Bombyx mori: one gene and its partner. The protein of the gene in region 1 interacts with the protein of each later gene in a biochemical or structural test. Links are inferred from orthologs where the notes say so. Each region holds a gene or a part of one and is shown in the gene's direction. Other genes may lie near its edges.

Evidence for each region.
Region 2: the proteins of eukaryotic translation initiation factor 2 subunit 2 (region 1) and eukaryotic translation initiation factor 2 alpha subunit form a complex in vitro, tested with the Homo sapiens proteins (2 studies listed by BioGRID and IntAct). The link is inferred for Bombyx mori from reciprocal best matches to the Homo sapiens genes EIF2S2 and EIF2S1.

Annotation. Positions count from the first base shown.
Region 1 is NC_085127.1:8,434,890-8,445,154, reverse strand, and holds eukaryotic translation initiation factor 2 subunit 2, read left to right. Parts: upstream 1-3,940; 5' UTR 3,941-4,007; coding exon 4,008-4,940; 3' UTR 4,941-4,986; downstream 4,987-10,265. Other genes in the region: large ribosomal subunit protein mL65, read right to left, coding at 543-684, 2,078-2,216, 2,457-2,896; beta-ureidopropionase, read right to left, coding at 5,496-6,653.
Region 2 is NC_085126.1:6,527,817-6,539,290, reverse strand, and holds eukaryotic translation initiation factor 2 alpha subunit, read left to right. Parts: upstream 1-5,934; 5' UTR 5,935-6,096; intron 6,097-6,242; coding exon 6,243-6,480; intron 6,481-6,787; coding exon 6,788-7,016; intron 7,017-7,886; coding exon 7,887-8,119; intron 8,120-8,720; coding exon 8,721-8,836; intron 8,837-9,836; coding exon 9,837-9,948; intron 9,949-10,181; coding exon of another isoform or gene 10,182-10,219; exon of another isoform or gene 10,220-10,581; coding exon 10,582-10,652; 3' UTR 10,653-10,740; downstream 10,741-11,474. Other genes in the region: collagen alpha-1(IX) chain, read right to left, coding at 81-139, 4,001-4,011. UniProt on the Homo sapiens protein: Member of the eIF2 complex that functions in the early steps of protein synthesis by forming a ternary complex with GTP and initiator tRNA. This complex binds to a 40S ribosomal subunit, followed by mRNA binding to form a 43S pre-initiation complex (43S PIC).

The DNA of each region.
Region 1 (10,265 bases):
AGACGCAGAAACATAAAAGTCATATTAATAAATATAATTTTTAAATATTTAAATACTAAGTGTTCTTATAACTTTGGCAATTGGTATCAAGAATTTGATAATACAAAGCTATAAAACAAAGTAATGAAATAATTGTCTGGAATGAAATCTTATTATACAGTACATAGTATAGTAATATGCTATGTACATACAGCTTTGCTTTTTTATGAATGAGGGATTACTGGTGGCCTTTCCAGTTTCACTAGGACAGGTGAGTGAGGAAAGGCTCAGCCAGGAGAGGCGGGATTTAGTAACAGCCGCCCGAGCTCAGAGCTCCAAAGGACAGTTAACAAGTCAAGAGTAGCTAGTGCCTTGCAGATGTGGTAGCTTTGCTACTAGCTTTGTAGCACATGGAACTCTGCATAAAATAGTTAAGTTGATCTGTTACGCTTTGATAGGCAAACAAAAAAACTATTACACTTTTACCTTTGAATTAAAGTATGTGATCAAGTTTTAATTGTTATTTAATTTTTACGTTGCTATTGAATTTTTTTTATTCTTACCAATATATTGCACAGGCCTATCTGTACTTTCATAATGTGTACTTTTTGGCCATTTATTTTCTTTTCGCCATTTTACTGTTGTGGTCGGGGGATCAACACCACCAATATGCCAAAATGCTTCATGACGAGCATCATAATCAATCTGTAATAAATAATAATTATGATTGTTTAAGCTGTGTTAATGGTCACCTATTTTCTAGAGCATAATGCAGAACTGCTGAACGGCAGAAGTAGATATGGCAGGTCTGAATTACAGTAAGAACCGTACGTCCATGAATAACATTTCCTATCACTTCATAGTTAAAGAAATGAATTAATTTCGCAAATGACAGAAAAATACCTTATAGATATATGCAAATTATTGTAAAAAAATAAAATTCACATTTCAAGAAAAAAAGAGGACAATTCAAGATAAAATCAAATACCTTCAATGATCTAGAACTGGCATTAGACAAAACAAATTTCTCCAGCATTGAAAAATAACTTAAAAACATCATGTGAATAGAACAGCAATTAACTGGATAATCAACTTGCACAGCTAGAATCAGTTGATATTGCATTCTTTATATATTTATAGTATCAGAAGGCAACAGCTTGGCAATGGCCCCACACTGCTGACTTTCATGAGCGATGGTAACCACTCACTGTATGGTGCATTTGCTCATCTGTCTACAATGACATTCATTAATAAAAAAAACTTAGTAAATTTACATTGGCAATACATGTAATCAATTATGCTAGACTTGAGCTTGTCCATTATAGTATCCAGTTCCTCATTTTAATTAAGAATATATTGCCAGCTATGCATAGTAAAATAGCAAGATCATAGATTTCAAACTATTTCAGACTTTTTTTTAAATTATATAAGTATTTCTTAGAATAAAAAAAAAACAGGTAGGTAAAATCAAATAGGTAGTTTAGAATGGATTCAAGGATGCTGGAGGAAAAGTATAACAATAGTCCAAGAATTTCCATAAGCTCTCAATTCATTATCCCCAACTATACACGGTTTTTGCTAAAAGTATTATGAAATTTGGAGATGCTTATTTACTCAAAACTGCTCATTTGCCTACTATATATTCTAAGAATCTTATTACAATACACAATCTCAAATTACGTAACAGACAATATACCATACAATAGATATCATTGGTAAAGTGATTTGGAGATTTTTGTTTTATAATATTCTCTTTTGATATGGAAAATTGAAGAAAAAATTGAAGGATTGTTAAATATACTATTGATAAAGCATGTTTCAATTAAATATTAATTAAATTTGCCACATCTGTCCCTGTGGACGGTGTATAATGTCATTCTGAACAAATATACATTAGAAAAATTTTATCTCTCTGACAGTAGTTGTAATTATAGGAGCATGTTTTAACATGCTCATAACATAACCTTTACTTATAAAAAGTTACCCATAAAATTATTGTTATCCTAGTATAGACTAGGATAACAATAATTTGTTATCCTTGATATGTCGCCTTGGTCTAAAGTTTCCATGTATGCTAAGTAATTATTAAATCAAATACCTGTGTTGACAAAATATGAGGCAAGTTATCACTGAGATTGTTCATTATAATTCTGTTTATTTGTCTCACAACACATTTTGTAATTGTATCTTCTTGTTGCATTTTTATAGATTTATCTTGTAAGAATTTGAAGTTCCTCCTGAAATTTTTTTTAAATGCTTGATAAATTAATAATAAACTTAAGCTTGTATCTAGGTTTATAAATTAATCAAACAACACACATTTGATCTTGTTGTGAAGGTATCAAGTAGTCAATATCAAGTAGGCATTTTAGTTTAACCAAACCAAACCAACTAAATATTTTTGTGTAATCAATGTCATGTTTCTTTCCAATTGCGTAAATTGACAATTATACTTTAAACTAATTTCAATTACTTACTCAACATCAGTTAATTCAATAGCTATGGCATCTTCTATTTGTGGTTTGATTTCTTGAAGAATATTACTAGCTTGTTGTTCGATTTCATTGTATGCTTCCGGAAGTTTAGCGACCGGTATGAAATGACTCCTAGTATAATACTGTACTAAGGGCATTGCGTTGTACGGAACTTTATCATTGTTCAACATTATACACTGCCATCCATAATAACGAGGCATATTTAAGGCTATTTGTTTCTCTTCTATCGTGTTTAGTTCTTGTATTTTGCTTTGAAAACTTTGTCTTCGACGCAATAATTTTCCTTCCCGAGTCATATCCAGTATAGGGGGATACTCCGGTGTCTCGGTGTATTCACTTTCTTCAAGAGCCGTAATAGTAGAGTATCTTGGAATGGCATTCTTTATTTTCAATAATGATCGGTGTAATTTAATTATATGCATATCGAATTGCAATTCGATATACCCATAAATCAGAATTCCTATTGAGTTATTTGTTTCTTAGTTTATGTAGATATCTCCTAAGAGAAAGTGGCGATAAAAATTTAATTATTTTTAATTTTTAATTATATTTAATTTTTTTTAAAGTATGAAATTGGTAATTGATTTGCTTATTTTATTTTTGGAAACTAGACGTTTTGACTAATTTTAGGTTAATTTGACTTTGACTTTGACTGACTTTTTGAGACTTTGACAGATATACACAGTAATACAGACTAAATCATCTCTAAACATATTAAATGTATAATCTATGCTCTAAACTCTAAACTCTTTGAGAATTAGAACAATTTTTATGTATTCTCTTTATTTGAGAGTAGTACCTAAACAGTACGGTACTCAATGCTAAATGTTTAAGATCGTCTTAAGGTACTCAATTGTTTTATTTTACATTGAAAGTTTAGAAATAATACATCATTTAAATCAAATCATCAAATATATCACAAACAGTTCTTTAACGTTTTGTTCTTATTTGTGCGATATTGATAATTAATTAATTCAGTTTCATGAATGTGATAGTCATTTGGGTTGAGTCACCTCTTCTACTTTCCATAAGTAGGAGAGGTGACTCACTCTTTCCGGAAGGAAAAAAATCTACCTTCCAAAATGATATACTCTAAGCTCCGCCCTGCTTCTCTCCTGTTGCGACTTTAGCCACAAATCAACTCAATGCTCCAGTAGATTTTATAGTACTTTACGAGTAAAGCACCAGAATCAAAAATAATTGTAAATATTTTATGCTTGCATTCTAATAGAATCTTGATTTTCTACTATCTAAATATGATTTATTGGTCAGCTGACTCAATCCCCGGTTGCCATCCCTCCATACAAAATATTAGTTTATGTATAGACACGACTACTAAAAGAAGCCTAGATATCATAGACGTCAGTAATTGCGAGAGAAAAAAAAATTACGGTACGGTACATTTTTGAACGACGAATCTGATGCAACTTTTTGACATTATTTTGACATTAGCCTTCTACAATACTGCTCAATCGTCTCATATTCTAACCAAAAATTTAGTTTCCTTTACGAGAACAACGCCTTTTAGTAAACATGGACGACGATATGATATTTGATCCTTCGTTGAAGAAGAAAAAGAAAAAGAAGACTGGTTTTGATTTAGAAGCTGCTCTTGCTGGTGAGCAAGGTGAGAGCACGAGTATGGAGACACCCGCAGATACAGGTGACGTCGACGCGCCCGAAGACGATAACCTCGATTTAGACAATTTTGGCAAAAAGAAAAAGAAAAAGAAGAAGACGTTTTTCAATCTCGGAGAATTAGAAAATGCCTTGCCTGAAACACCGCCAACCGAAGAACCGGAAGCGCAGGAAGACGAAGTAATGGATGATCTAGATTTGGATATAGATTTCACTAAGACGAAAAAGAAAAAGAGGAAGAAGGATAAAAATGTAGATGAACTGGTCACAGAAGAAGATGTCAGAGGAGAAGATCAAGAAAATGTGGAAGATGAGCACGGTGAATGGGTTGGAAGTGATCATGATTACTCATATGACGAACTTCTAGAACGAGTTTTTGATATTATGCGGGAAAAGAACCCAAGCATGGTATCTGGTAAAAAGCAAAAGTTCATAATGAGACCACCCCAAGTAGTCCGAATTGGTACAAAGAAAACCTCCTTTGCCAATTTTACGGAAATTTGTAAAACTTTGCATCGGCAGGCCAAGCATTTGTTGGATTTTCTTCTGGCGGAATTGGGTACTAGTGGTTCAGTGGATGGAAACAGTCAACTAATTATCAAAGGTCGCTTCCAACAAAAACAGATAGAGAATGTTTTACGTCGGTATATAAAAGAGTATGTAACATGTCATACATGCCGCTCCCCTGATACAATTTTACAGAAAGATACTAGATTATTCTTCCTTCAATGTGAGACATGTGGGTCTCGTTGTTCAGTGGCTAGCATTAAATCTGGTTTCCAAGCTGTGACTGGCAAGCGTGCTGCCATCCGTGCAAAGACTGCATAGAAAATTAGTGCTTAGTGATTAACTAATTTTACAGTAATGGTTTGGGGTACATGTGGTAATTTTTAATAGTAGATTGTGTTTTTATATCTGTCAACCTCAGCCAACATGACAAGCTAAGCATTATTGTAGTAATTAATAATAAACAAATTAGGCAATTTCAAATGAATTCAGCACATGTTGTGGTCCTCAGTTTCAATAAACATAGTACAGTAACCCAGGTGTTGACAACACAATGTGAAATACATATTTATTTTTATCAAATGTGTCCCAATTGAATCCCTATATTTATGTATAACTCACATCTGTATTATTCTCATTGATACACAATGTTTTATAAAATATTGTTTTATTTTAATCTATTGCATATAATAAAACATTTTCTAACAATTAACAATCTTTATTAAAGTCTGTAATGCAGTGAAACACCAATTATGTCTAAAAATTAAAGTAGACTAAAACAGAGTTTAAATTTAGCAGAATTAACAATATTAACAGATCTGTTCAGTAACACTATAATAAAATTGTAGGATTCATGATTGGTAAATTGAATCTTTATTACTTGTGTACCACTTGAGGTACATAATCATGCTTTATAGCTTCATTTAGACTTTGAGCATATAAGTCAAGGCGTTGAGTCATAGTGAATCCCCACTTGTCTTTAATTTGGCGACACAAGTTTAGATCAACTTGGGCAATAAGTAAACCATCCTTAATTCGAGACAGGCCTGGAGTTCTGCTACCATCAGGTGCTGTCACATAGCTAGAACCATAGAAGTGTCCAAAATCTTTATGTGCTGGTTTTCCATCTCCAGATGTAAATTCATTTGGGAATGATTCAGTTCCTACTCTGTTTATAGCACATGTATAATAACTGTTGGCTATAGCTGCATTGCGAGCTTCAACTGCCCACAAATGTTCACTTAAACCTGAAACTGTTGCTGATGGGTTAAATACAATTTCAGCACCATTGATACCAAACATTAGCCAGTTTAGTGGATGGTGACGACCATAGCAAATATTGATGGCAACTTTACCATATTTTGTTTCAAATACTGGATGACCAGTATTACCTTCAAAATAATATGTAGATTCATTGAAATCTCCAACCCTTGGAATGTGGTTTTTACGGTGTTTTCCTATTACCTTTCCAAATTCATTGATAACTACTGCTGTATTCCAAATAGTATCTCCATGAATATCATCTCGTTCTAAAATTGGAGATATGATAACCATGTCATACTTCACTGCAAGCTCTGCTAAAAAAACTGTGCTAGGGCCAGTCAACACAGGTTCTGCAAAGTCACACCATGGTTGCTTTTCTCTTGTACAAAATGCAAAGGGCATGTTCCAAGCTTCTTGTAAACAAAGAATATTAACTTGCTCTGCAGCTGCAGCAGATATGATCTTTTGAACCTTTTCGAATATAGCTAGTCGTTGTTGAGTAATTGGGTTATCAGTAGAGATAGCAATAGAATGTTGTATGAGGCCTAATCTTACAATGCGAGGTTTCCTGCATTCTTCTTTTCTTGCAGGAAAATCATAAGCTTTTATTTCAAATCCATTGCTAGCGGCTTTTTGGGCAGCAACGGAACTGATAAACAAAGCACATTGGTCTATTCTTCCATAGTGAATTCTATTAAACTCTTCTAGTTCTTTACCCTTTAATGAATTTGATATTACTTCATCCAAACTTGTGAGTTCTGCAGAAGCCATTTCTTTGTAAGTTAATTGTTCCCCTTATTCTTCTTTTTAATCTTTTTTACAATTTTAAATCACTAGAGTAACAGATAAACAATTTACCAGTTTTAAGTTCCCTATAATTATGTACCAGTCCGGTACACAATATATAAAAGATATTTACTAGATAAGGGTAACACTGTATAGCGTTTTAATTATTCGATAGAGTAACTTGTCTGCACTATTTTAGGTACATCTGCACTATGTAATGTTGAAAGTAGTTGAAGAATGATGAATGTGGTTTGAAATTTGCACTGCCACTTCGATTTTGATTTCAAACGAATCCAATGAACTAAGATGTGAAATTGGTCGGGTTAAAAAAATCTTCCTTAAATTCGTAAGTATTGCGATAACTAAATACCTATTTAAAGTTTCGAATAAACAAGTGATAAGAAGTTAAGATAATAGAATGAGAAATAAAATGACCTTTTATAGATTAAATTAGAGACATTTATAGACAACACTATTTGTCCTTTCAGTTTTTTGATCAGTATTACCCGTAGACCTATATATAGTATATTAACTGATACAGGGCATCTCAAGCCATAATTTCAAGGTATGTACATCAAAGTGAACTAACATTAAATATAGTGTAGGTACTATTATCTATGGTGAACAATGCAGTTAATGTTAGTAAAGGTAACTAGTTACTTTTAATATTAACCACCGAAAAGAAGATTCACCATTAATTGCGTGAAACGAACTGCACTGTGTTATTATTCAAGCATTACCTACCTCTTGGGCCGGGGAATTCCCACAGAACGGGGAATAGATTATAAATAACTATTATTTGACAAAATTGAGATGATTACATTTAGCATATTCTTTGTTTACTGTATGTTACCCTTGTAATGTTGCGGATAGTAGTAAGTAAGTTTATAACGTTACATTAAAGTGCTCATTTTGAAACAGTGGCTAGATTGTTCGGATTAATTGTATTATAATTAGTACTTATAACTTTTAAAATTATCTGTTGCAAATGATGTGACAAAAAAAACCAGCAGCGTAACGACAAGTTCTTTTATTTGTGCAAGAAAGCAGAAAGCAGGTAGAAATGGCCGGCATGGCTTGTTTTATTAACACTATCCCCCCTTCGTTGGCTTTGGCTAGCGGCAGTGGCGCAGAAGGGGGAGTGTTAACATGGCTTGGCGGCTTAGCTGGCGGCAGGGCATGACAGCTGACGTCACGTCCGTTACATTCGGCTATCCTGCAACAATTGCTCCCGCAATGGGGAACACACAAAAACATTTAGCTCTCTAAAAGTCGTCGTGGCCTAAAGGATAAGACGTCCGGTGCATTCGTATGAAGCAATGCACCGGTGTTCGAATCCCGCAGGCGGGTACCAATTTTTCTAATGAAATACGTACTCGACAAATGTTCACGACTGACTTCCACGGTGAAGGAATAACATCGTGTAATAAAAATCAAACCCGCAAAATTATAATTTGCGTAATCACTGGTGGTCGGACCTCTTGGGAGTCCGCATGGGTAGGTACCACCACCCCGCCTGTTTCCGCCGTGAAGCAGTAATGCGTTTCGGTTCGAAGAGTGGGGTAGCCGTTGTAAGTATACTGAGACCTTAGAACTTATATCTCGAGGTGGGTGGCGCATTTACGTTGTAGATGTCTATGGGTTCCAGTAACCACTTAACATCAGGTGGGCTGTGAGCTCATCCATCCATCTAAGCAATAAAAAATAATAATAATAATAATAATAAATCAATAAGGTCTTCAGTTTCGAGCTGCTCATCGGAACTACTAGCGCTATCGGACATATGGGCTATACTTTTATAGGGCCTTAATGTGAAGTTTTTATAACCTCAGAAGTAGAGTTGTCAGTTTGTTTTTGTAATAGCATATTAGCAATTCCTAATATACACTCATCGGTATGTATTTCCATAGAAAGCATAGGATCATACAAAGCTAGCGTAGGTTTGGCGCATAACGGTTTTCCAGTTGTTCGAAACTCTCGTTTTGTTCACGGCCCCACACCCATGATTTGTCTTATTATTGTTCAGGGGTTGGGATATTGAAGAACTAAATTTTAAATCTTTAAGTATACGAATTTCCTGTTGCAAGAAATCTTAATGTTACAACCAATCTTTCTTTTGGACTTATACTATCGTAGAATTAAATATGTAATAGATATATAATAGACGATCGTAGGATAGTACTCTGCTTTTGAATAAACGGTGTCACAAGGTTTAATATTAGGTCAAACGAGATCGAATCCATTTATAGATATTTTCTGAAGTCTGCTGGTTCTAAATCACTCATAATGTTCATATTTGCTAACACTCCGCACAGCAATAAATATTTCTTCACCGATATTCTTGTTTTTATTTCTTTTTATTTTGAGAAATTGAAAAAAAACATAAAAACAAAAACAAAAAAATTGTTGTTTAACAATACTGGGGCCATCCTCTTACGCACACGACACGTCTTACTTCGTCGCGTTTAAACTGACAATTGATTCAGTAACTGAATTTAGAATAGTGTAACCAGAAGCTTCTAAATTTGCTTCTGAATTCTAACGTCTGAATTCAGCCAAGTGCAATAAACTTATAACATGGCTTGGCGGCTTGGCTGGCGGCAGGGCATGCCAGCTGACGTGACGTCCGTTACATATCATTAAAAATGTCGGCTCGTGGAAGCGACGACGAAGGCACTACGCCGAAAAAAAGAAAACTTATAAGCAGAAATTTCGTGATGAAATTCTAGGGGTTGGCCGGTTAAAGCTTTTCTCAGATGTCGCCAGCGTAGCTTGTTCCCTTGTCACAGAGAGCCGCCATTTTGTGTGTTTTGCGTTCGTGATATTTCGGCATTTTGTGACTTTGATACGGTTCTTATTACTTTCTAAGTAGTGCTAAACAGTTTTACAACATGTATCCAACTGAATAGTTAAAGAATTGAAGGAGGAGTTGAGAAAACGTGGTGCATCTTTAAGAGGAAAAAAAGTGGATTTTGTCGAAAGGTACAATGTTGATGTTTTATTTTAACTTAGAAGACTTCTCTCAAACTGTTTCCGGTAGCTATTATAATAATATTAAATTGTGTACCTTAGGAACTTTATTCTTTGTAGCATGTGCAAAAAGAATTGCTCTTAATACACACATTACCTACCAACTAATGTGTTATTTTACTTTTTTCAGATTAGAGCTATATGACCAAAATTTTAATTTTGAAACAAAATTAAAAAATTGCTCTAGCAAAATATGTTAATATATATGATTTGCTAGTGGAGCCATGTGGCATTTTCATTAGCCAAAAGCGACCATATCTTGCTCCATCTCCTGATGGTGTGTTGGGCGAAGAAACTATAATTGAAGTGAAATGTCCATACGCTAGCAGAAAACATGAAATAAATGTAACAACGGTGCCTTACTTAGAACAATGTAACGGGATATTGTTTCTAAAAAAAACCTGGCCATATTATTATCAAATCCAAGGGCAGTTATACTGCTCAGGCAAAACATACTGCAACTTGGTCATTTACACCTACAAGGACATCAAAGTGATTTATGTTGAAAAAGACAATAATTTTATAAATAATAATATATGTTAAATAAATCAGATATCTTTTATGAAA
Region 2 (11,474 bases), on another chromosome or scaffold:
CGGCCGTAGAACGAATTACTGTAATTGAAATATGACAATAAATTTAATGTGCAAATGTAATTTTATATTTTGGAGTGTACCTGCTTGCCCGTTGCTGTATGAGAAGAGAATAGATAGGAAGACCAAGACGTATGGTAACCTGAAAGGTAAAACAAGAATAATATAATCAGTTAATTTTATATGCACACCAAAAAAATCTCACAAAAAGCAAGAGCAACATAGTTGTAACTCTTAGTGCTTCGTTTCGGATTTAATCATAAGATATACATATGTAGGTATCCGAGCCAGGCCTCTTTGAAATCCTGTTACTGCTTCCACATCATTCGTCCATAGAAACAATATGCTCAAAAGGAGCATTATTCCTAATTAGTTTCCTCTGATCTATCATCTAGCTCCTATTAGCAGTATTAACGGTAAGTCATACACTGATTGTTACAAACATCCTAATAGAATATCTTATTATGTTTGTGGCGCGAAGCTTTTGCGCTTTAAGCTCTGTGTGCCTAGTGCGAGTTTTTTAACGTTCTCTATAGCGTAAAAGTTAGCTCATATTTGTATGGAGTGGGATCGTTTGCGTACGTTTGCCGCTAGGGGCGCTGTTCCAATGGCATACAAAATTGGCTTAACTTTTACGCTATCGAAAACGTTAAGAAACTCTCACTAAGCACACTGAAAGGCAATCGTTGGGCGCGCATCTCAGATGAACGCCAGCGCTCGACTTATAATGTAAATCGACTGTAGTTAACACTTAAAACCGCAAAAAAATTATTAACATGAAAGTTTTATGCGATTCTTATCGTTTTTCGTGGAATATACACGGAAACAATTTTCCAGCTGGTAACGCGTCATTATGTTAAGTTGCCGGAGAAACTGTTAAAATCTATACTAATATATAAATCTACAGTGGCTTTTACGGATGTTCCGTTATAACTACTGAACTATGCATCCAATTGACTTGAAACTTGGTATCCATGTAGAAAATACATCTACTTAATGGATAGGCTAATATTTATATGAGTGTTAGACTCCCTAATAATAATGACAGTAGATAATAATGTTAATTTTAAATGCGCAGCGAAGCGGGCGAGTACGGGTAGTCCTGAATAAATCTGTATCATATTCTATAGGCCGAAATAGACAGGACGCACCAAATATTCCATGTTAAATAATAAACGTTAAATATAACCTGAAGAGGTTTCAAATTTAATTATCACACGGAACTGAAAGTAATTCGTAATGGCAAGAATACATATTGTATGACATTTTTTATGTTAAAAGAACTTCATTAACTGTCACATTATGAGACTAACTACGAATTTCAAATAGCCCTATGTAATTTAGATCGAAATATCTTAGATGAATTTTTTTTGTTCATAATTTAAATTCGCAATAGCTTGGTCGAGCGGCCCCAATGATATTTCTTTCAGTATTGACGTATGCGACCTCGTCCATATTGAAACATCAGACGACCTACTTCATACATCGAATCTCAATAAAATAATAGGTCAATAAATAATTGAACTGTACAAAACCGGCTTTGCGACCTAGTTGTGTGCCCATACGCACTGGAGCTTAAACTCGCAACCTTGTTTTAGTACGTTTTAATTACGCCACCAGTTTTAAGGTCAAGGTAAATATGGCAAATCGATGCGAACAAAATCGTAAAAACCATAGAAATCGTAACCAAGTTTACTTAACAACATGTTTTTATTAGTGTTGTAAGTGTACATGTTTGTTTATAACGAATATTTGAACGACATTTTCACGGACTTCAACAAGTATGAGTAACTTGAAAATTTGCACACGCATCAAGTACCGATGACAGTTTAATAATTTTATAATTTCAATTGATTTGGATCAACCTACATTTTGTTTTTAATCATTATCTGCAAGAAAATAATCATAAATATTTTCCTATAGCATCCAAGAAAATAATGTAACTAAAATTTTTATTGTTTTGTTTAACTTACTCATAATATAGTATCATAACTCTTTTGCTTAGATTAATCATAACATGACTAATTAAACTACGATCTACTCCTCAGAAAGCCGCTAAATTAGCTTCGGAGAAAGATAACATTAGTCAACAACACAATATATCTTTTTAATATTAATGTATTAAAATCCTTCCTCTTTATTGAAGAGTCCTTATTGAAGAGCTTCTTAATATAACCTATTTTAACCTTAGCCTTCCACGAGGTGGATCGATGGTTTGTTAGAAGTCGTAGGAATCCACAGGATGCGCAGAACCAGTCATTATGGTGAACTTTAGGGAAAACTATGTCCAGCAGTGGATGTCTGTGGGATGTGTATGGATGATAATGAACCTTAGCAATCTCTTATCGGCAGCATTCATTTACTTAGTATCACAAAACATTAATATCGGCGGTAGTTTGCAAATATGATATCGATTATTCGCCGATGTGAAAGTTCACGTCCTATTTTTTTTTTATAAATTAGCTGTTAGATGTTTTGTCTCTGGCATCGCTGATGTCCATGAGCGGTAGCGACCACTCACCAACAATTCGATTTGTTCCTTCGTTATGAAAGACGTTTTAAAAGTTTCATTACACTTCGTTTATGTTTGTAATTCAAAGCATTTTAAACAATCCAAATTATTATTTTTTTATATCGCTTCGTTTCACAGCTCACGTGCGAACAACGATGAACTTTTGTACAACAGTCAATCGATTTGATGGCCAATTTGATGTGTATGTTTACAAAAAAGAACGAAGGACTGGTTGTTTTGTATTTATTAAAATTTGATTTATTAAGTAGGTAGAGAATATTTTGCAGTTGATATTATGACGAAACCGTCCATACAAAGTTTTTATTCTATTAAAGAAACTAAAGCTCCTCCTTGTATTCTAATATTCATTAGAACTTATTACCATAGATTTTAATTTATCAAAATCATTATACAATAGTAACTACATAAATTTAAACTTTAATAAAAGTATTATATTATAAAAAAGTAACGTAAAGTTATGTAATAAAATTTGAGATTTCTTTTACAAGACGGAAACAATATGGCCGCCTATATTTTCATGTGTATCTGTTTTGTGGCGGTTAAATCTTCGTTCAAACGTTACCACACAGTATTCAAGCCGAATTTCGAAAACGAAGACTGTTGCTATTATTGAGAGTGCTTTCATAACCGTAAAATACAATTTGCGCTTTTCTTATCAAGAGATAATTTAATTCGAAACATTCCACATTGCAATTCGCAATAGGACCTTCGACTATTTATTCGATAATCGTATATTTCACGTATATTATCATGGTGTACATATCGTCTATAATTAGGTCTCTGACGGCTTAAATCAAATGGCTCAGCAATTAATACATTACTCACAATCACGTCCAGAAAAACACAAATTACTAAAAACGTCAGAGAAGTGGTCGCTCAATGAATTCAGCTTTTACAGCTGTAATAATTATTAAGTGAGTGAGTAATCAAGGAAAACTACGTAATTTCAAGAGACAATGTAACGAAATGTAAAACGGTTAAATTATGAATTTCAACTTTACAATGTGATTCATATAATTAGTTCTTCACAAATTGTATCATTCAGATTCATTCTCGGTAAATATAATGCTAATGTAACTATAATAAACAGTATAGTGTAGTATATTTAACATGTTGTAACGTAAGGTAACCATACTTTTAATAGCAATAACAAAAAAGGCGCGAAACGATATTTTACTGTCATAGATAATTCTATTTTATATTTATTAAAAATTTCATATAATACAATCACAGTATTTTCGAACCCTAAAATATTTTTGATAAAGAATACTGTTGTCTGATAAGTTTGTTGTAATTATAATCAACTTGAAGAAAATATGTATGCGTGATTTTATACACTAGGTCTAATCCAAACAAATTAATTCACTCTTTTTTTTACATTTATTGGAAGAAGGAAGAGACGTTCAGAACATAATACATTAAGAATACGCTATACAATATCTTATAAGCAAAGAATATGGCTGAACTTACCAGAAATACATTTTAATTTAGTTAAATGAACATATTTCGCTAAATGTTGCACAGTAAGTATGGGGACAAGACGCGTACTGATCGAACTATCACCAAGATTTGTTCGCCCCGTGATATATTTCAATTAATTCGCTACTCGACAGCGTTTTTAATGTCTTACAATTGCAAGATGTTTAACATGAAACATACGACAAATTTTGTTGCGTTATTTAATTTCGAATTATTTCATAGAAAAAGAAGATAGGAATTTATAGATTTGCGCTCGTGTTCAAACTTTTTTTTTATTGTCTTTGTAGGCAGATGATACGGCCCAGCTGATGGTAAGTGGTTACCGTCGCTCATGGGCGTCAGCAATGCCAGGGGCAGAGTCAAGCCGCTGCCTACAAATAAAACTTCACTGATTGCATCTAAAACAGAAAAAAGCGAGTCGAATATACTGTGAATTCCTCTATTTCACTAAGCTCCCCTCATTACCATCATCTACCGCTAAGGTGTTTTTAAAACATTCATTTATAAATAATGTGATAAACTATTGCAAAGGAAATACCGAGAGTCAAAGTTCATTTCAGAGACTGGCAGTACTGGCAGAGTACTCAATCTTTGGAAACCATTTTTTTTATTGCTTAGATGGGTGGACGAGCTCACAGCCCACCTGTTTTTAAGTGGTTACTGGAGCCCATAGACATCTACAATGTAATTGCGCCACCCACCTTGAGATATAAGTTCTAAGATCTCAATATAGTTACAACGGCTACCCTATCCTTCAGACCGAAACGCATTATTGCTTCACGGCAGAAATAGGCAGGGCGGTGGTACCTGCTCGCGCGGACTCACAAGAGGTCCTACCACCGGTAAAATACTAATAATAATCGGTCTAACTACTCCGGTTATGGGATTGTAGAAACAGATTACAGAAAAATCTCAAACAGTTCTCCGCATCATGATCAGAACTGGAATAACTATTATTATACACCTAAATTAAATCCATATAGTTTATAGATTTGTTTTTCTGACCATACTAATTTGCTGCAGCGTAAATTAGCAAATGGCCAATAGTAAAATGACATTGTCAAGGATGCGTGAACGCTTACAAATATGCTATCTTCCCGGAATAATCGAGACGTAATCTTCATATTGTATGCGGAATGCGATAGGTTCATAAGAGTTTTAATTGATGTTAATTGTTGTGACAAATAACGCACGTATGCTTAATGAATTAGGCCAAGTATATGTGCGTTTAATATTTTCTTTTATTATTTATAAAACCTCACATAAGGATTTTTAATGCTCTAATGAACCTACGTCCATTTATAATTAAGCCGTTATTGGAGCCCAGAAACCTCAGGAACAGTAACTTTGGGGTGCCTTGAGGCTCCCTTGACCTCTAACACTAAGTAGGCCAAAGGAACCGCCCGTTTCATCAACTAAAAAATATATTTGAAATTGTTCAAGTCAATAACGATCAATTGAATATTCAAAGTCAATTGCGGAAACTTTGTTCTATTGAACAGAAATAGGAAAGTCGGTCAGTAATTTAATTATGTATTCAATACAATTGTTATAATGACTAATGAAAGTCCAACTTTTTTAAACGTAACTTCGACCAAAAATTCATCAATTACGGTTTTTAAGAGACCTGATACAATATTTTACGATCAGATGCCCTTTTTTACATTTTAGCCATCGTTAAACTTGCCTCTACGGGCCTAAACTTGAGTCCACTTCTGGTGAATATGAGCTGAGCGGATAATTTCAGAGAACATTAATAAATTCTAATTTAAATATGTCAACGGGTTTTGTTGCAAGTCCCGCTACACCAACACAATGGATCATACACTTAGTATTTAACATCCAACACCCAACCTTTACGACACGACTACCGCTACGTTTCATTTCACGCAAATACATTTCAACAAAGTTGATACAATAGACTTTGACTTTTTCTAATTTGTGACAGATGTCACACAACGCAAGCCCAGACAGAAGGACATGAAGCAAACGCTGAATTTCGTCAACGTGAACAAGTTGACTGTTTCATCATATTCTTTCTTTATCTAATATTTAACAGACAAAAACGAATTAAATAAATACACAAGGTAAATTAATACTGTATTCTCAATAATTAATACCAGAATTTGTGACACAAAGTTTTCATATAGGTTATAAATATTCTCAATAGTAAATACCAGAATTTGTGACACAAACTTTTCACATAGGTTATAATAAAATCAAATTATTCTAGATGCCTTTGTCGTGTCGATTTTATCAAGAGAAATATCCGGAAGTTGAAGATGTGGTGATGGTGAACGTTAGATCCATCGCAGAGATGGGAGCATACGTCCACCTTCTAGAATACAATAATATAGAGGGCATGATCTTGCTATCTGAGCTTTCCAGAAGACGTATCAGATCCATTAACAAATTGATCCGAGTGGGAAAGACTGAACCGGTTGTCGTAATCAGAGTGGACAAAGAAAAAGGTTAGATATTGTTTAAAATAATAATAAATTTTTTTATAAAATTGCACTCCATTTTTCGCTTCAGTAAAATATTACCATTTGTGCTTTGGAAAACAGGAATTAAACAAACCAATATTGTCATAAACTAATTTATCAAATCAATGTTTTATCCACTCAGTCCTCAAAGCCAATGGGTTAATATTGACATGTCATTCTCTGTATTAATAACAAAGTACACATTTAATTGAAATATGATATGACAAACTAGCACCAATCACCAATATTCCAAATGATCGCTTTTAATTTTGTTATTTCCTTCAATTCACAGGATACATAGACTTATCGAAACGTCGTGTATCTGCTGAAGATATATACAAGTGCACAGAACGCTACGCAAAAGCAAAAGCAGTAAACTCGATCCTGCGACATGTAGCAGAGCTCCTCCATTATGAAACTTCTGAGCAATTGGAAGAACTTTATAAAAAAACAGCTTGGTACTTTGAAGAGAAATATAAGAAGAAAGCCTCAGCATATGACTTCTTCAAACAAGCAGCTGTGTAAGTGTACATCTTGAGTTAAAATGATAAGGTTGGTGCTTATGTACCCCCAATTGTGGGGGCTTCGTAGGAGGTTTGGCCCCCAGACTGAAAAAAAAAAGAAAAAGGGTGCTTGTGTAATTATCATTATGTCCAAATGGACCAAAAAGTCAATTTAGTGTAGAATGAATACTACTTTTGCTTTCTTCAGCTCTCACACTCTGCACTCAGAAACTATCACACTTCAATAGGACATGAATTACTGTGTACTAGTCAGCTGCTCACAACCTTATGTATTTGTGACTTATATATTTACTAGGGCTTCCTATATGTTACCCTTGAGTAACCCTTCCCTCAAATTTCTCTAAACACTGAGCTTTACACAGTTTGAGTGTTGCAGTGGCTCAGTGCACTGTCTAACACAGCCTTTCCCAAAGTGGGCGATAACGCCCCCTTGTGAGCGCTGCAGGCCGAAAGGGTAATAGACCCAGAAAAAATGGGTGTGTAGAGGCTTGGGAGGTGATTTGTAATTTCATCTAGGAGGACTCTTAGACACAGACTCAGTTCTCTCTATAGTGGTTTTTAAGAAGATGAAAAAACGGGGGCACTAGAATATAATTAATTCTCAAAGTGGGCAGTAGACAGAATAAGTTTGGGAACCCCTGGTCTAACAGATTTGTGCTGCCAGTCCGAAGGTAGGCTAATTAGGTAGTTTAATTATCTCTATGACTATGAAAACTGAAGAAAATATTATGAACCATTAATTTTGAGAAAAAGAACTGACCTTAATCTTGTGAAATTGAAATATGTTAATACACAAAATAAAAAGTGCTATATTACCTAATTGGAACAAGAAGAAAGTTGTTTCTATGCAATATGTTAATGTTCCAGAGACCCATCAGTACTCGATGAATGTGGCTTAGATGAAGAAACCAAGGATGTCCTCTTAGCTAATATTAAAAGGAAACTGACCTCGCAAGCAGTGAAGATTCGTGCTGACATTGAGTGTGCTTGCTATGGTTATGAAGGCATTGATGCTGTACGAGCAGCTTTGAAAGCTGGTCTAGCTCTGTCTACAGTGGACATGCCAATCAAAATTAATCTTATTGCCCCACCTTTGTATGGTAAGTGTTTGATTTAATTTTCGTTTTTAGATATATTTGCACTAGATACTTTGTGTATGATAGTGTATGATAACAGCGCATCCTAAAAAGATTTGAATGTCCTAGAAAGATGGATGGACTATTTGAGAGAATATGCAAGAGAAGGGTATGGAGTTTAGAGTATGTTCTGATCACACTGTAGGATAAGTCCAAGAAGAAGATGATTGATGGACAGAAATATTGGTCATTATGTACTCCAAACCACAATGGTAGACTTATAGTAGAAATCTGCAGGTATAATTTTAGTATACACAAATTTCTTTATTAAATTTCATTAATTGTATAGAGGGATAAATGAGCTCACCCAGTGTCAAGTGTTTACCGGAGCCTATATATTTCACAATTTGAAAAACTCTATTTAAAGATTTTTTTTCTTAACTGAATTGCCCTTGTAGGCAGACGAGCATACGGCCCACCTGATGGTGAGTGGTTACCGTCGCTCATGGACTTCAGCAATGCCAGGGACAGAGCCAAGCCGCTGCCTACCGAAAATTATTACATAACTTGATTACTGTATGTCTCACTAAGCAAAGTATAATCATTTAACTAAGGTTTCTTACAGTAATGACTACCTCAACTCCTGAGAAGACTGACGGTCTCAAAGCATTACAAGACGCAATCGACAAAATTCAAGAGAACATCACAGAAGCAGGTGGAGTCTTCAACATTCAGATGGCGGTAAATTCTCAAATTCCTATTTATACAACTTTATTGGTTTAGCTATATGTTTCAATATGAAAAAGATTGCTAAATTTATAAATAAACATTTTGAATTAAAGCCTCCGAGTCATCTGCCAAGTAACTATTTAATAGTATGTGAATTTTGAACTTGTCTGTTCAGTATGATATTTTATTACATAAACTATGTTTTTTTTTATATATCAAATTAAATATGTACTTATGTTAGTTTGTATTCAATGCGCGAATATGGTCCGTCTGATTTATTTGAAACTCTATAGTTATTAATTCCATCTCAAAAAAGTTTTTGTTCAATACAATATAGTACCTCCAACAAACGATAGGTGGCGCGTGAGTAATTTTTTATTGCTTAGATGGGTGAACGACCTCGACCTACCTAGTCTTAAGTGGTTACCGGAGCCCATAGACATCAAAAACTTAAATACCACCACTCAGCTTGAGACATGAGTTCTAAGGCCTTTTACAGTACAACAGTGTAGATATACTTGAGACCTTAGAACTTATATCTCAAGGTGGGTGGCGCATTTACGTTGTCTATAGGCTCCAGTAACCAGTTAACATCAGGTGGGCTGTGAGCTCGTCCACCCAACTAAGCAATAAAAAAGAATACAACAGTTGTGGAAATCAATCGTGAGGATTTATTAAGAACGTATTTCATTAGAAACATTACGCGTGATTTCGGATCCTCCGGATACTAGTTCGGCGAATCTAGAATAACCCAGTTCAGTAAATCAAGTTGCTAGAATAGGCAAAAAAAAATAAAATTGATACCTATCTGCGGGATTCGAACACTGTTGCATCGCTCTATACCAATGCATCGAGCGTCCTTATCCTTCAGGCCACAGCGACTTCAGCTACTTTCTTGAGAAAAACGTGACTGGATCTCATTCACTAATATACTTTTTTAGCTTGTGATGTGTATTTTGTGCCTAATAAATAAAATAAAAAAATAACTACTGTACAATAAGCATTTCCACAGCCTAAAGTTGTGACAGCGACAGACGAGGCCGAGTTGGCTCGACAAATGGAACGCGCTGAGGCTGAAAACGCTGAAGTCGCTGGTGATTCGGCCGAGGAAGACGAGGATCAAGGTATTTCTAAATATGAATGAATGAATGAACGAATGAAAAAAAAGACTGTCTGGTGTAGTGGTAAGTGACATGGTCACTAGACAAGGGGATCGCGGGTTCGAATCCCGCCAAGTTAAGATGTTTGTATGATAAATATAAAATGTCTTTTCCAGGGTTATGGATGTATATTATACTATATGCCCAGCGCAGAAACAAAACCTAACCACCGCTTTTTCTACATAATTATTGTGTAGGTATGGGCGATGCTAACATGGACGGTGAACCGTGTTAAAAGTCTTGTCGAAAGATTGACAACTATTAAAGTAATTAGAGTTTGAAATTTTTAATTTTATCTATAAACTAGCGACCCGCCCTCGCTTCGCTTCGGAAACATTAAAACACAAATGAAACCAAAAAAAAAAAATTAAAATTTTTTTTTAAAAAGTAGCCTATGTTCATCAGGGACAATGTCGGCTTCTAATGGAAAAAGAATTTTTCAAATCGGTCCAGTAGTTTCGGAGCCCATTCGAAACAAACAAACAAATCTTTCCTCTTTATAATATTAGTATAGATGTTAGATCGAAGTAACACTATATGCCCAGCTCAGAAACATAACCACTGGTTTTTCTATTCTACATAACAATTATTGCGTAGGTATGGGCGATGCTAACATGGATGGTGAACCGCAACAGAACGGCGCTTCGGACGAAGAAGACGACAATTGATAATAAAACTTTAATATCATAATAAATGGTACTCTGTAATCTAACGTGTTTCAAATGTAATATAAAAATAAAACATGTTTTATACAAATCATCTGGTATTATTATTATTTACTCCTTTAGTGACATTAATACCTTATATGAGTCGACTATTATCAAAGCCGGCAATGTGACTTTTGGATAATTATTGGTAAATCAGAAAAAAGAATTATTGGCAGTCACAAAACTCTTCTGTACGACATCTTAGATAAATAACAGGTTAAGTATTAACCTTTATTTAATGCAGGTTTTGAACCGTATTCTTTGAAGGAGACGATTATATTCAAATCAATCTGTATTGAAATATCAATAAAATTTTTGTCCAAATGCACAGATTGCCACCTTTGATAATAGACGACTCATATATAGATAAATAAACAGTTTTTTGTTTATGTAGATGAGTAAACAGGCGAAATGGTAAGTGCTTTAGTGTTAAACTTTTTAGTTACTAGCGCTATATGGTCACTGGAGGCTATAAAGGCGAGACGCTATCCGCGTATCTCCTTTTTTTTCCTACCTATGCTGATGCCTTGAGAGGCTATTCTTCACCGTAACATGTAGGTGAGCTCACGAGGCTCAAACCTGAGTGTTGCTAACACTGGCCCTAGCAAGAGTAGTGCTTCGCAGAATCTACCACCGGATCGGAAACGCGACCCACTGAGAAGATCCGGCGAGAAACTCAGTGGGCTGTGTCTATGGGTTAGTTCGCTCGTCGAGCCCTTCGTTGCAAGCGACGGGTTCGACGAGGACAGTGACCGCGCGTATCTCCCTTCCGGAATGAATCAT